Rhinolophus ferrumequinum: one gene and its partner. The protein of the gene in region 2 purifies or fractionates together with the protein of the main gene of each other region. This does not show direct contact. Links are inferred from orthologs where the notes say so. Each region holds a gene or a part of one and is shown on either strand. Other genes may lie near its edges.

The links.
Region 1: the proteins of PPP2R2D (region 2) and IER5 purify together in Homo sapiens (affinity purification with mass spectrometry; 3 studies listed by BioGRID and IntAct, counting the BioPlex papers as one, with this or other methods). This does not show direct contact. The link is inferred for Rhinolophus ferrumequinum from reciprocal best matches to the Homo sapiens genes PPP2R2D and IER5.

What each region holds. Positions count from the first base shown.
Region 1 is NC_046305.1:13,388,729-13,396,254, reverse strand, and holds IER5 (immediate early response gene 5 protein), read right to left. Parts: upstream 2,684-7,526; 5' UTR 2,456-2,683; coding exon 1,484-2,455; 3' UTR 506-1,483; downstream 1-505. UniProt on the Homo sapiens protein: Plays a role as a transcription factor. Mediates positive transcriptional regulation of several chaperone genes during the heat shock response in a HSF1-dependent manner. Mediates negative transcriptional regulation of CDC25B expression.
Region 2 is NC_046299.1:1,054,376-1,061,562, forward strand, and holds the start of PPP2R2D (serine/threonine-protein phosphatase 2A 55 kDa regulatory subunit B delta isoform), read right to left. Parts: upstream 2,887-7,187; coding exon 2,880-2,886; coding exon of another isoform or gene 2,797-2,879; coding exon 2,704-2,796; coding exon of another isoform or gene 2,572-2,703; intron 489-2,571; coding exon of another isoform or gene 446-488; intron 1-445. Other genes in the region: transcription initiation factor TFIID subunit 4, read left to right, coding at 446-488, 2,572-3,553. UniProt on the Homo sapiens protein: Substrate-recognition subunit of protein phosphatase 2A (PP2A) that plays a key role in cell cycle by controlling mitosis entry and exit. Involved in chromosome clustering during late mitosis by mediating dephosphorylation of MKI67.

The DNA of each region.
Region 1 (7,526 bases), on a different chromosome or scaffold from region 2:
CAGAGGTGGACCTGATCAGCTGGGCGAGTCAGTCTCCTCAGTTTCCCTCCTGTCAGTTTCTTTTCAATAACAAAGCTGAAAGAGGACCCAAGTAATACAGTTTAGCAGGAGACAAAAAGTTTCAGTGAAAACCTTTTCCAGGATGGGAAGGGCTTCAAAAGTTGGCGCTTCAGCTATTTAATATTAAGTAAGACACCAACAGATTGAGCTGAGAAAAAAATCAAATTGGCCTAATATGACTTTAGAAAAGGCGGCTGGAAGTGGCAAGTTTCAAGAAACAGGCAGGCCACTGACATTAGTATCTGGTAGCAGTCCTCTGATCTGGGGGAGAAACCTTAAACGTGTCTCTCTGGATACTCACTAAAGTCAGCAAACAATGTCCGCAGTCTGTGCTTGACTGATATTAACAACCACACCTTCAATTTTCCAGCCTGGACCACAGTCTCCCTCCTCCCACCCCCCTCCCAACCCAGACTGGTGATGAACAGGCAAGGAGGCAGTGAAGTTGCTTCAAAATATTTAATACGTGTTAGACACGTAGAGTTACATTTTTATACAAAAATCAATACAACGAAGGAGAAAATACTGTACAAAAACCTTGTCAGCTCCCCCAACCTTTATACAACAAAGACTGGAGTCACCATATCTACAAAACCATAAGATCTTTCCACTTAAGGGTTCTGTCTGTAAACTTTGTTTCATTAAACATTTTTTAAAAGCACTGTGTAGTAGTTCTGAACTAGAGCTTTTAAAAATATATCTTTTCTCTATAAACTCCGTATTTCCAAGCTTGACCTCTTCTGAGAAGTTCGTCAAGCGTTTTTCCCTCTGGGGAAGACAAGGGCCGCTAAGATTCCCCTTTCCCAGAGTAATCACAGGGTATAAACGGTGCTTCAGTGAGAGAGAAAGGTGGGGAGGGAGAGAAATAATACAAGTCTCGACTGCAGGCTAAATCCCTCTAGTCTTAGGAAATCCTGCGAGGAAACGCCACTCCTGGCCCTGGTACCGTTCTAGCTTTCATGTGAGGGGTGTGTGTAAAGTCCCTTCCTGCCCCAAGAACGCGCGGGGAACTCCCCGGCCCTTTTCGCCGCTTCCTTCTTGGGGCTGCTGGCAGAGGAAAGTCCCTGTCTGCCCCCCGTCTCCTAAGCCCTGGCTGGGGAAGGGGTGATGCATTCCAGAAGGACAAAATAGTCTTAAATCACAAAACAAACTTACAACACAGACATACACAGACACACAAGTGAACGAGCGTCCTCTTCCGATAAGCCTCACATGCCCAAGTCTCAAGAAGGGCCCCGAGAGAGAGGCCGGCACAGCAGGGTGCCCAAGGCCACGGGCAGCGCGCACTGCCGGGCAGCTGCCACAGTCTCCCCAACACGCTCGGCGCCCACGGTCTCCGGGTCGTCCTCGCAGCTGGGAGAGGCCCAGCCCTCGCGTCGGTACGCCAGCTGCTCACTCGCCTGCCCGCACGGAGACCGAGGGCTCAGAAGGCCACGATGGCTGTGCTCCAGGGGTTCATGTCTCTCAGCACCGGCTTATCGCAGCAGATCTGCCCGGGCTCGGCGGCTTCCGGACCGTTCTCCTCTCCGTCGGCTTCCTCCCGGCCGCCCCCGGGGCTTTTCCGCAGGAGTCCCGAGAAGCTGGAACCGAAGATGCTAATAAGGTTAGCCACGTTCCCGGTCTCCATCTCCTCCTCCTCCTCGGCCGCCGCCCCGCTCGACGGCTCCTCCAAGTCCCGGCGGGGCTTCTTCAGCGGGGTCGAGCTGGGCGCGGGGCAGCCCGCCGGGCCACCGACGCCACCCGCCCCTGCCGCGCCGCGCTTCCTGGGGCCGATGGGGGGCGGCGCGGGGGCCTCTTCCTTCGCACAGCAGCAGTCACCGCGGGGGGTGGCGCCCAGCGCCCCCGGCTGGTCCTCCCCTCCTGGGGGGCGGCCGCAGTGGTGGCTCGCCGCCCGGGCCACCTCGGGGAAGACTTCCGAGGCTCCGGCGGGGTTCCCGGGTCCTCCGGCCGCTGCCTCTCGCGGTCCCTCCATGAGGCGCCAGGCAGGTCCCGCAGCCGCTTGTCCGCCCAGGACAGCGTCCCCGGCGTCGATCCCGGGAGCCGCGGGCTCCGCGTCAACCGCCCGCTGAGCGTCTGGGACGGCGGAGCGTTCCGGGTGCGGCTGGGTCTCCTGCCAGGCGGCCGGGACGGCCGGCGGTGCCGGCTCTCCCCATCCCGCGGCGGGGCCGGCCGCAGGCTCCCCGGGCAGCTGCGGCAGCGCCATCGGGGTCCCTGACGGACCGGCCAGGTAGAGGCCGGGGCACGGGTCGCTCAGGTAGACCTGGCGGGCGCTGCGCAACACCAGCGAAACCAGAAGGTTCTTGTGCAGCTTGATGCCGCCGCGCTGGACCCGCGAGTTGTAGATCTTGCCCAGGGAAATACTGACGATGCGGTGCGCCTCCAGCTTGAACTCCATCCTGCCTGGAGCCCCTTCACGGGCAGCACGGAGAGGAGGGTTGAGCCCCGGCTAGGGTCCAAAAACAGGGAGAGAAATTGGAGGAGTCAAGAAATCCTCCCCAAGACTCCAGAAAGAAACGATTCCTGTGACGCGCTTATTGACCTCCGCGTCCCCTCCACAACAGGTAACTACCCAGTTTCCTGTCCGGTCAGGTGCCTGGTCGCTAACTGAGGGCAGTCCCACTCCCCCGGCGCCTTATATATGCTCCTCGCCCGCCAATCGCGAAGGGCCGCCAACCGTTCCGGGGCGGGTCAACGCGCCCTCATGCTCTACACGCGGCCAATCGGAGACCGAGGAGGGGCGCCAGAGCCATTCGAACGTTAGTCCCGCGGAGCAGGCTCTTAAAGGGGACTACGCGTGTGGCGAGGGACTGGCGGGTTGTGCGGCGTCTGTGTTCCTAGGGCGGGTGATGGGGAGGAGGCATAGCCACCGTGTTGTTTGTAGGTAAAGAATCTGGTTTGTGCGCTGGTGTGCCAGAACCAAAGCGAGCTAAGCCATTCGAACTTTCATCCGAGTATGGTGGTGGACCTTGCTCTGCAATAAAGTCCGGATCTGTCCTGGTTCACCTCCCCCCACCCCCGCCCCCACACTTCCATTTTCAAGGCAGCACACACCTGTAAGCTCCTGGCCAACCCTGGCAGAAATGAAGATAACAGCATAATGCGGCAAGGGAAAGCCCCTGGACAACAATAGTATTACTATAAGAGATTTAGCAGATATTAATGTTGTATGAGTCCCTTGCCCCCTAGAGTCACATACACTCTTAGCAGCCATCAATTCTAACACGGAATGAAGAAAACGGGGGTTCGAAAAGTTTCTCAGTTTTGGTTGCTTATCAAGGAATTGTGTCTAGGTAAAAAGTTACTGGTGTTCCACTAAAGCCAGCATCTATTATTGTGTGTTCTCCAGATTTTAGAACAAACCGTTGTCACACAGGTTATGAGGAAAGGTGGGACAAGTTCTCCACAATGATTTTTCCTTCAACCCAAGGACTGACCAGCCACCCTTGAAAAAAAATCGAGCAAGTTCTAAAAATACAAATAGAGAAGTCCTGTGTTCTCATCATGATGTCATAATTTTATTTTGTGTCAAGGTAAAAATATAGGGGAAGAGTGTTCCAGAATTTTCTGGTCAGTCAACAACTTAGCCCTTCTACTGATCCTTAGTACATGGCATTTAGGGCAGAATCACCACAGGGTTGGCCAGGGTCCTAGACTGGGTTCCTGGAGAATCAGTTTCAGTTAGACCCACCTAAGCTCCACCACAGACCTGCCTGACAACTGAGTGAATAACCTCAGAACACCTTAGTTTCGCCAGCTCTAAAAGGGAGAAATCTCACACACACACACACACACACACACACACACACACACACACACACACACATCTGCTCTATTATGCAGAAGGGAAATGACAACTCAGCCACAATCTGAATCATAAAACGAAGTACAGCTTTCTCGGAGTCCAGGTGGAACTGTTGGCCTGACCAGAGTTTGGCCAAGTAGTCTACAGACACGCCACAGAACACAACTGATTTTACCACAGGCTAATTGATATAAACAAGAGTTAAGTTCCCACAGCATCTCATCAACCTTATAACGAAACAATTGAAGAAAATGACATTGGAGGATTTGCTATATTTAGTTAGAAGAAATACTAGTGAAAAGTGGGCTTGATGATGGCCAAGTCACAATCAGAGGCTCCAAAGGATGTGATGGCTCAGAAATATCACAACTTATTGAAGGTAACTGACACACCGGTCCATGAGACCCAGAGTTCCTTCCCTCCAGGAATTTGCAGCTCACATAAAGAAGGAGAGGAAATAATAACACAAATAATTACAAAAGCAAGCCTTGCAGTTTGAGGAATAACATGAGAGAAATGTTTCCATTTTCTCTTTCTTTGAGAGCTATTAGTTACTAAAAAACACTGAGTAAGAGTACAGGCTCGGAAGACAAGCTTCTTGAGTTGCAATCCCAGCTCCACATTTTACTTGCAGTGTGACCTCTGGAAAGTTATTTCACCTTTCTGTGCCTTGGTCTTTTTCATCTTAAAATAGAGATAATAATAGTGGCTACCTCTTAAGAGTTTTTGTGAGGCTAAAACAAGGTAACACATGCAAAGCTCTTAGAACAGCCTGGCATATAATAAGCTACCAATGTATTTCAGTTATCAGAACACATCACCCCCCAATACAACTTTGGGGTGGGAGAAGAGGCATGGGGTGGGAGGAGGAACGGAGATGGGAGAAAGAAGTTGCATTTGAGGAGGACACAGAAAAACTCTGAAGTAGGACCCACAAGTTCCAAGCAGCAGGAGCAACAGAGCCCCTGGTGGAGACCATCTCATTTGGCAGGTGTGCCAGACACCTACAGGAGGTGGAAAAGGATGGAAACTGAGGCTGGTGCTACATGATAATGGGTCGTGGATGCCTCAATAAGGAGATGGGGGCCACAGGAATCTACTAAAGGTTATTGAGTAAGGGAACCAAAGAATGGATTCTAGAACAGTACACTTAATTACAAAGAGAACCACTTAATCGTAAAGCACTTGTGGAAGTTTAGGCAAAGGGTCATGAAGGACTGAACTCGGTGGAGGTGGCAAGAATGAAAAAAACTGAGAGACAAAAGGAGCTTTAGTGATGACCCGGGATGCCTCCACCCACCTAAACAGGTCACTGATAAAGCCGTCCTGACCAATCTGGGCGGGGTGTATCACCATCCTGCACCGTGTGAAACATTCTCTTTCATCTCTGACCTCCTCACTTTCCGCTGTCATGCCCAGGGCCCCTCCCAAACTGTACTCTCAACAGAGGCAGGAGTCCATCTCATATTTGTAGCCAGGCAATAGTGAAAATACTTAACTGTGTTGCCACAGTTAACACAGTTAACACACAGGGCAACACAGGCACTAAGCATCAGAGCGGAGTCCTGGAGACGCTTAGAGGGCCAGGAGTTATGGGAGGCTCCTACAGGAGGGGCAAGATGGCCAGGACGTGGGGCACTCAAGGGGTCTGCCAACTGGCATGGAAGACTTTCAATGTTTTAACAACAGGGGTGGGTAGCCATAGCACTATATACTGAGTGATTATGCATTTGGATTTATGAATCACTAATAATGATATTGTCTGCCAGGCACTGCGCTAGCCACTTTACAGGCATTATTTATCATCTGTAGAAAGTTCTGAAAATATTACATATCATTATATCCATTTACAGATGAGGAAACTAGGATTTTAAAAGTTTAAGTAATTTTCCTAAAGTCATACAGCTGTAGGCAGAGAGGGTGGATTTCAACTGTGAACCTATTTAAAGCTTGAGGGAAGGGCTGTGAGGTGCCACTACCTTATTCTACCTCTTACTTGCTATATGACTTTTGGAAAGTGATTTCACATCTCGGTGAAATAAGAAAATCCAGTCTGAGTTTTGCAACATTTCTGTGCCTAGTCACCTATTGTGTAAAATGGGAATAATAAACATACGTACAGTCTCTAGCACCATACAAGCGCTTACTAAGTCTAGTTATGGTTATACCAGTGCCTAGCTCAGTACCAAGCACACAGTAGGTACACTCTTAGTCCCAGTTGAATTTTGAATGCGTTTTCTATTATACCACATACTAGGTGCTCTATAAATATCTGCTGACTTGAAATTGAGTGCGATCACAATTATTATCCTCTACTCCTGAGACAACAAAGTACAACCTGGAGAACTCATCTTTGGAGGGCCTAGGCTCTTAGGATCAGCAAGCTTCACCTCCGCCTACCAGAAAAAGTGGGAAGATACAGAACATAGTCTTCTAAGCTTTAGGAAGCAGGTAATTGAGAGAGTTTGCTGTCATCAATCTTTGAGATTTTCTCAGTTAAAAAGAAAAAAAAAACTGGTAGCACTATGAGAAACACGAAGGGTGTCCGAAGGACAGAGGAAGCAACTGCTCTGTGCTCTGGAAGAAGTGGCCAAGCATGTCCATTGGGTCTGGTCTGTCCGTCCATCCCCCATCTTCTCCACTGGGCACAAGGAGATGAACACGCGGAGCGTTGGCCACAGTTGTCCCCAATCAGGCACTATGGGTCTCCGGCCTGGGGATTCCTCTCAGGAAAGGGCTGTCTACCCACTGCTATTGACTTTGTCTTGTTTGCATGACTCGTTGAAGGCTCAGTATTATCAGATGGTTGCAGAGCTCCTATTGCCTTAAATTGGGTCTAGTCTATATAAGAACAATGCAAACCCACTATGGATTATGCAAACAATAGCTCCGTGAGAAGAAACGAGTGAAAAGGGGGTGGGTGAAATAAAAACATCTGCACTGTGCCTACCTCTCAATGTTAGAACATTTGGAAATTTTTTTTTTTAGTCAAAGTTGCTCATGTGAGTGAATGATTATTTGTATGACATCCTGAATTGTTTAGGGGGGAAAGCGCTATAAAAATACATTGTTAGCATTCTACGTAAGCAATATTCCTCGTGCTCCTCTGAGAACACACAAAATCCACTTTTTCATTCAACTTTTTCTCTCTCACAGTTCTGGCATATTTTACATCCTTTCTTTCCTCTTGACTGCTGAGCAACTTAACAATTGTCACCCCAATAAATTAAAAATAAATAAATAAAAATTAAAAAAAAAGATATGAAATGTTTACCATGCTAAAAAAAATAGAGTTTCTTTATCTTCAAATAGCATTTGACTAGGGGTGGGCACGGAAACCTCGCTTCTTTCCTCCTCCCCATTTCCTTTCCTAAACTATTATAGGCCCACCCTCCTTCTTGTCCTAAATGTTGTCTTGGTTCAGAAAGCCTTAGGTGGTTCTTATGATCATTTTTGTCATACTTTGCCTTTTTTAATACTGCGAAGGAAAACAAATTCCTCAATAAGCAGTACACTTGGATTCATTCACATGGACCTAGTACCCTCTCAAGCCACAAACTGAGAAAACATCACCATATAAAATCCCAGATCTGCACTGTTCAATGCAGTAGCCATTAGGCCCCTGTGGCTCGTGCACTTGAGGAATTGAATTTTAAATTTCCTT
Region 2 (7,187 bases):
CTGAGGTTGTGTGAGGATGGGACCGACAGACAAGGTAGCTGGGAGCAGCTCTGGAACATAACACTCAACACTGTGAGCTGTCACCACCTCTGGGCTGGGACCTCCACAAGGGGCGGGGGGTTGAGGGACCCGCCTTCAAGCCTGAGGTGCTCACACTGTTGAAGACAGACAAGCGAGGGTTATAGTATCGTGTGGCGTCTGCTAACAACATTCACCCAGGGCACTGCCCAAGGAAAGGGAGCGGGCTGGGTAATGGTGACATCACACGTGAAAAATCTGCACATTTAACAACTTCCAAAAAGTGATCACCGTTCAGAGCACAGGTTTTTGGAGGCACCACCTACCAAACAACTTCTCACTTCCACTGGAAGCGTCCCTGGGTGTTACGATTCTCACTCGCTCCCCTAGGCAAAAAAGCTCACCTAATGCACCTTCGGGGCCACCTATGGCCATAGCCAGCTTGCTGTATGGGAAGGAGAGTGAGGCATGTGAGCAGTGACTGTTACTCATGCATCGTGTCATCAGGACAATCACTCATTTCCTTCTGAGCCCAGCTCTGCACCTACTCGCAGGGAGATGGGAAAGCCCTGATGGTACCATGGCTGGTCTGACCCACGAGCAAAACCCTGTTCTTAAGAAGAAGAGAAACGGGCATCAAAGTTTACACAATACAACACTTTCTTCAGGAGTTGGGATTCAAGTGTCCCAACATGATTAGCTTTAAAAACCAAAGGAAATCAAAAACCTCCCTCCATTGTGCCCTCTCCTCATCCTTCAAAGTCAGGGGAGCCCACACCTCCTGAGACTCACTAGGTGCTGTCCTTACGTCACTGGAGGACCCCAGCTGATCATCTCAGCACTTTCTGATCACCCAAGGCAGGGTAAGCACACGGTCCAAGCTTACGGTGGGACTCCTCATGTAGAGCTCAGACCAGAACAAAACCTTCAAGAACACAATGCCTGACAAGCCTCCAATCTTAGCAAATAAACTTCCGGTCCAAACTTCCCTGAAATTACCCATCTCCTGTCATCGCTTCCCAACATTTCTTCATCAGGGTGTCTGGGCACAACCAGCTTCTTGACCATCTTCACTCTCGTTGCGTAACAATCACTAGCTGCTAACAATGACGTTTTCCTTTATCATCGACTTCTATTGGAACAACGCGATTCAAACGAACACAATTTGACAGAACAACATGACAAAGGATGAAGAGTTATAAATGTGTTACTCTGATGGATTACAGAGGCCAGATCATACATGGATTAAGACACAAGCCTCTGAGTACACACAACAATCAAAAACATGGGGGCTGTCACCACAAAACAAATCTCACAAAAAGATAACCTGAAATACCAAGCTTTTAGATGTATTCAAAATTCTACTAAAACTGCAAAAAAAATTCCTATCAGTTTTAATTCAGAGGACAAAACAGTTGTCAAGATTTTTTAAAGGACAGCCTATTTTCAAAGTGCAACACCCCACTTAAAATATGTCATTTTAGTTGCATTTAAATTTTAATTTATTCGGCTTGTAACTTCTTTAAAAAAAAGGGAAAGAAACCAGAAATTAAGGTAGACCTCAAGCCCTCTCCCCTCTCTACCCCTAAACAAACAGGTTTTGCTACTCTTGATAGAAATTTTGTGTAAACTGAACTGTCATTCACTTGGCATATATAAAATGAAAATATAAATAACTACATAAATAACTATAGAAGGAGCAGGATCAAATTACTCAGAGTATATAAAATCACCTAGTTTCACTCTCAAACATGCGTCGTCACAAATTTCTTGGAGCGCCCAGTTTACTTGCTTTACTAATGGGGCGCTGTCCTCGGGGCCAAGAATCTCCAGAAGTCACACTGCGGGTGAGCGTGAGCGGTGAAGGGCAAGGATGCAGAAGGTCATGGGAGGGGCCAAGGAGGAGGAAAGGGGACACGACACAGAGGGACCCGAGGCTGTCCGTTACTTGGGGGCAAAAAAGGTGCATTTGGTGTAAAGACAATGAATTTTATAAGAAGGTTACGGGTTCACAATGTTCGGGAAGATGGTTGAGCAACGAGAAGTCACGATGTGGCCGGAAGTAAACTTCTGGGTTTCTAAGAATCAGGGCTACCCGCGACCGTGTGTGCGGGAAAGAAGTGCGCTGCTTTACTTTAGGACAGGCAGCTTCCTGCCCACCACCCTAAATCCCGTGTACCTTGGCTCGTTTAGGGGCACGATTAAGGAAAGAACAACCGACTTCAAGTAACAGCGTAAGGTTCAAGAGTAAAACCTGCAGGAGGAACTTGAAAGAATTGATAATAAAATCCCAATCCTCTTTTTCAAGTCGAGGGAACCGAGGCCAATCAGCTTGCCCAAGACCCACAGGTGACTAGAGCGCCTGGGTGGGGACCTGAGGCCTCCCCGCTGCAGTTATCCCGATTTTGTTTCTCGAGGCCCGTTTCTGCAGCGATTTCCACAGTTCTGCCACACGCAGGAGGCAGCCACCTGCAGCGGAAAAGACCCAGAACCCAGCACCCCGTCCGAAAACCCCAGCTCCCAGCAGGCTCTGTGACCTTGGGCTCCTTCCAGACAGAGCCCGCGCTGGGCAGGCCCGCGGTCTCGGACCCGGACCCGGGCAGTTCCCCGGAGCGGCCACGAGACCAGGGTCCCCGAGGGCCGCGGGCGGGTGCGGGCAGGGGGCGCGGACGCGCGCGGCCTTACCTTCGGCCACGTCCTCGTCGATGGCCCCCTTGACCTGCGAGAAGCACCACTGCAAGTCATTGGCGCCCGCGGGGCAGCCGCCGCCTCCGGCTCCTGTGGACACACCCGGCGCGTCAGGCCGCGCGGACCCGCCCGTCCCCCTCCTCCGCCCCCGCCCCGCCCCGCGCGGACCCCACCTGCCATGGCCGGCCGCAGGCTGGCGGGCGCCGAGTCGGCGGCGGACGAAGGAGGCTGCCGCCGCGCAGCTGCCGCGCGAGCACCTTAACCCGGCTGCCGCCGCCAGCGCCGGGGAGGGATTTTTTTTCCCCTTTTCAAAATGGCGCCCAATGCCCGTCGCCCTGCTCAATGACGTCATTCCCCTCCGCCTCCGGGCGGGGAGCTCCCCTGCGCTGGGCTGGGTGGGGCGCGCGGCCGCGGGGTCTGCCGGGGGCTGCCGGGAGGCGCCAGTGCGTCTGCGCGGGCCGCCCCGGGCTTTGTCCCAGGCCCGGAACGTGGCGCGGCGGGGTGGCCAGGGTACGTCGCGGCCAGCGGGCGGCTGTGGGCCCGGGGCTGGCGCGCCTCTGAAGACCAGCGGCAGGACCACCGCTATTCGCCCGTCCACCTCGGGGGTCATGGGAGGGCTCGAGGCGGCCCCGCCCGCAGCTAGTGGAGCGCGGCCAATAGGAGCGCGGTCCTTCGACGGAGCAGCCAATGGAGAGCACGCTCTGAGGGGCCGCACCTGGAGCGCGCCGCGTCCGAGCGCGTCGGAGCGCGTCCTCGCACCTGGCGGGGCTGCAAAGCTCTCTCTTCGGTCCCAGTGTGAGCTCCGGGAAGTCTGTGTTCGACTTGGATGGCAGCCAGGAGAGACCAGGTGAGCGAGGAGGGAGGGCGGGCAGATGGGGACGAGGTCCAGGGGCGGAGCCCCGCAGGAGGCTGAAGAGGAGCCACCTGTGAGGTGGGCGCCTGGAGACGCGGGAGCGGGTGGAGCCCGTGAAGCCGGGAGGGGGTGGTCCGCTCTTAACCGCTGCGTGCGGAGCGCCGAGAGGGCCCACTGGTTGTCGCGAGCGGGGTGCCATTTCTGACCCGGAGGAGAGCAGTCCCGGAGTGGACGGTGCAAACCTGCGCTGAGAGCGTTTTAGAGAAAGTGACAGGACAGTTAGAGGCAGTGAGTCACGGCAACCCTTTGTTGTGAGGACGAGCAGAGAAATGGGCCGTAATCTTTTTTTTTTCTTGTTGATTTAGCCGGTCTGCTCCTGAGCTGTTGAAAACGTGAGTCAGACTCTCTTATATGCAATGGCTTTCATGTGTGTTTAAGATAAGTCTTTTGAAGATAATTAGTTTTAGTTTAGACTGTATTCTTTGGTTAATTAGCTACGATTAAATTAAAATTTAAAAACAAAAGTAGCACAAAAGTACCGTGTTTCCCTGAAAATAAGACCTAGCCGGACAATCAGCTTTAATGCGTCTTTTGGAGCAAAAATTAATATAAGACCAGGTCTTATATAAGATTATATACATTATATTATACTATATTACATAAGCCCGGGTCTTATATTAAAATAAGACCGGGTCTTATATTAATTTTTGCTCCAAAAGACGCATTAGAACTAATGGTCCGGATAGGTGTTATTTTGGGAGAAACATGGTAATATATGCCTGAAGACAGTGAGCTGCCTTCCTTTGTATCTTAAAACATACGCTGTTGTTCTTCCCTGAATAACTTAAAAAAATTTTTTTCTTTGATTTATTTAGATTTTGGTAACTAAATACCATTTAAAATACTAAATGTGGATTGTTTCCAAGTTCAGATTTAGTAGCTAGCTCTGAGTTATCACAGATGTACCCTCTTGATAAGGAGTGCCATCTTCCACTCGAACTAAACACACCAGATTTTAGGAAGTTGTTCATATGAGGGGAATCCTGGTCCGCCTTCCTATGGGTTACTCGCCTTGGCCTGGCCGACCCAAGGGAGCAGCCACAGGAAGCCCCAGTGTGTGTCCCACGGGCCATTCATTGGGCCATTCATCCTCATCGTGCGACGCCAGGTGCTGCACACACAGCTGTGTCATAGAGTGCAGTGGCTGCAATTGTGTCTTGGACAATTTTTTTTTTTTTGTAAATTTAAGATTTATTATTATTATTTTTTAGAGCAGCTTTAGATTTACAATAAAATTGAGAAGAAGGTACAGAGATTTCCCACACAGCCCTGCAAAGCCTCCTCCCTTATCAACATCACTCATCAGAATGGTACATATTTTACCAGGGATGAACCCACATGGACATGCCATAATTACCCAAAGTCCATAGTTTATGTTGAGGTTCACTCCTGGTGGTGCACATTCTATGGGTTTGCACAAATGTACACTGACACGTATCCATCATGATAGTGTCACACAGTATTTTCACGGCTTAAAAGGACTTTGTGCTGTGCCACGTCATCCCTGCCTCTCCCCAACCCTGGCAACCACCCATCTTATTATTTCCATGGTTTTACCTTTTCCAGAATGTCTTATAGTTGGCTTTTTTTCATTTGGTCATGGGCATTTAAGATTCCTCTGTATCTTTCCATGTCTTCATAAATAATTTCTTTTTATCACTGAATAATATTCCATTGTCTGTGAAGGTGAGCAGAGTTGGCCACCCCAAAATTTGCCACTTTGGGATGTTGATTATTTGAGGCTGGTTAGTTTTAAGAAACAGCAGACGTGGGAGAAGCTTTGAGAAGCAAGAAGTTCTGCTGAAGGGCATTCATTTGTGAGGGCAGTGTCCATCTGTCCGGCATCTCCATCACTGTGCCCAGCCTGCCTTCACCATCGATGGAGAAGGCGGGGACGCAAGTCTGCACGACAGCCTGACTCTTGTTTCTTGTGCTTTTCCTGACAGCCTGCCATAGCTGACTCTCCACCCCAGCATCTTCTGTCTGTAGCCGAAGGTGGTATTTAAGGTGATGGTTTCTGCCATTTTGGTGACTTACTCAGTGTTCCTGGGTCTCTCCCATGTGTACAGGAGGCAGACATGTTATTAAACGTTAGTTTGTTTCTCTCTGCTAATCTGTCTCGTGTTGATTTGATCATTCGTCCAGCCAGAAGAACCTTGAGGGTACAGGATAATTTTTCCTCCCCAACATCTGGATGCAGCACAGTTTGTTTATGCCTCACCTACTGAAGGACGTCTGGATTCCTTCCGAGTTCTGGTGATTGTGAATGAAGCTTTTCATAACCTGCTGCCGCCTTACTGCTGGAGTTCAACAAGGCATTGAACTTCATTCCATTTTTTCTCTTTGTTCCTGCCAAGAAGGGTTGGCTCCTTGAATTTTTCTTCAGATGATGAAGAAAGGGAAGGAAGGAAGGAAAAAAGAAAGGACTACGTTACATGACATGACTTGACAAAAGGGACTTGGCTGATGTAATTAAGATGACAGACTTTAACTGTGGGGAGATTAGCCGGGATTATCTGTGTGCCCAGCCTAATCTCATGAGCTTTCAGAAAAGCCTAGCACTTTCTCCAGCTGGACTAGAGAGATGCAGAGTGTGTGGGGGGCTTAGCCTGCTGTTGCCGGACAGACCACACGGAAAGCATGAGAAGGGATGCGGCAGCCTTTGGCAGCAAAGACTGTCCTTGGCTGAGCCAGCAAGAAAATGGGGCCTCAGTCCTGAGCGAACTGCAAGGAACTGAATTCAGGCACCAGCCTGGAAGGGCTTGGAAGTAGACTGGTTCCGGGAGCCTCCAGACAGGTGCACAGCCCACCGAGAGGTGCCATTTTCAGCCTGGACAGAGCCAGCGGAGCCCACCTCCGACCTCCAGGGCTGTGAGATGACAGATGTGTGTGGTCCCGAGCCATTAGCTGTGGTAATGTTGAGGGCAGCAAAAGAAAATGGATACAGTGTGTCTGGTGTGAAATAAACAGACTCGTGTCCACTCATTCGTCCAGCTGTTCTTTGCTGTGTGTGAGTCTAGGCACTTAAATCACTCTGATTCACAGTGACATGGCGATGTGGCAGCCGTGTACGAACAGCTGAGTGCCAGCTGCGCCTGTATTTAGGCAGAGGGGCACCTCCTGAGGACTGGCGGGCACAGCTCGAGGGGACATCTGTGCTCTCAGTGTCACGCGTGCTCTCCAAGAGTCTGGACTCCCCAAGCATGCTCCATGATCCTGGTTAATGCTCACGGAGCCCTACACCTTCACGCTGACATCCCATTTTAGGCGAGGAAACTGAGGCTGAGAATAACTCGCCCAAGGCTTCGCAGTCACGCAGACTTACAGCCCATTTAAGCTCAGTTGTAACCTCAAGGCCCAGGTATTAGGAAACAACGGGCAAGGACACCCCCGCGTCCTCCCTGGCATGGCTAAGCCGTGGGGAGAACCCCAGCACTTGCTCTGCCTGAACTATACCTGCCTTGCCAGAAATACACCGTCATCCATGGCCCGTGAGCTGAACCGCTCGTGCCCCTCCCAGGACTGGTCTGCGTGGGGTGGGAGGACGCCTGTGCCAGGCCTCCAGCTG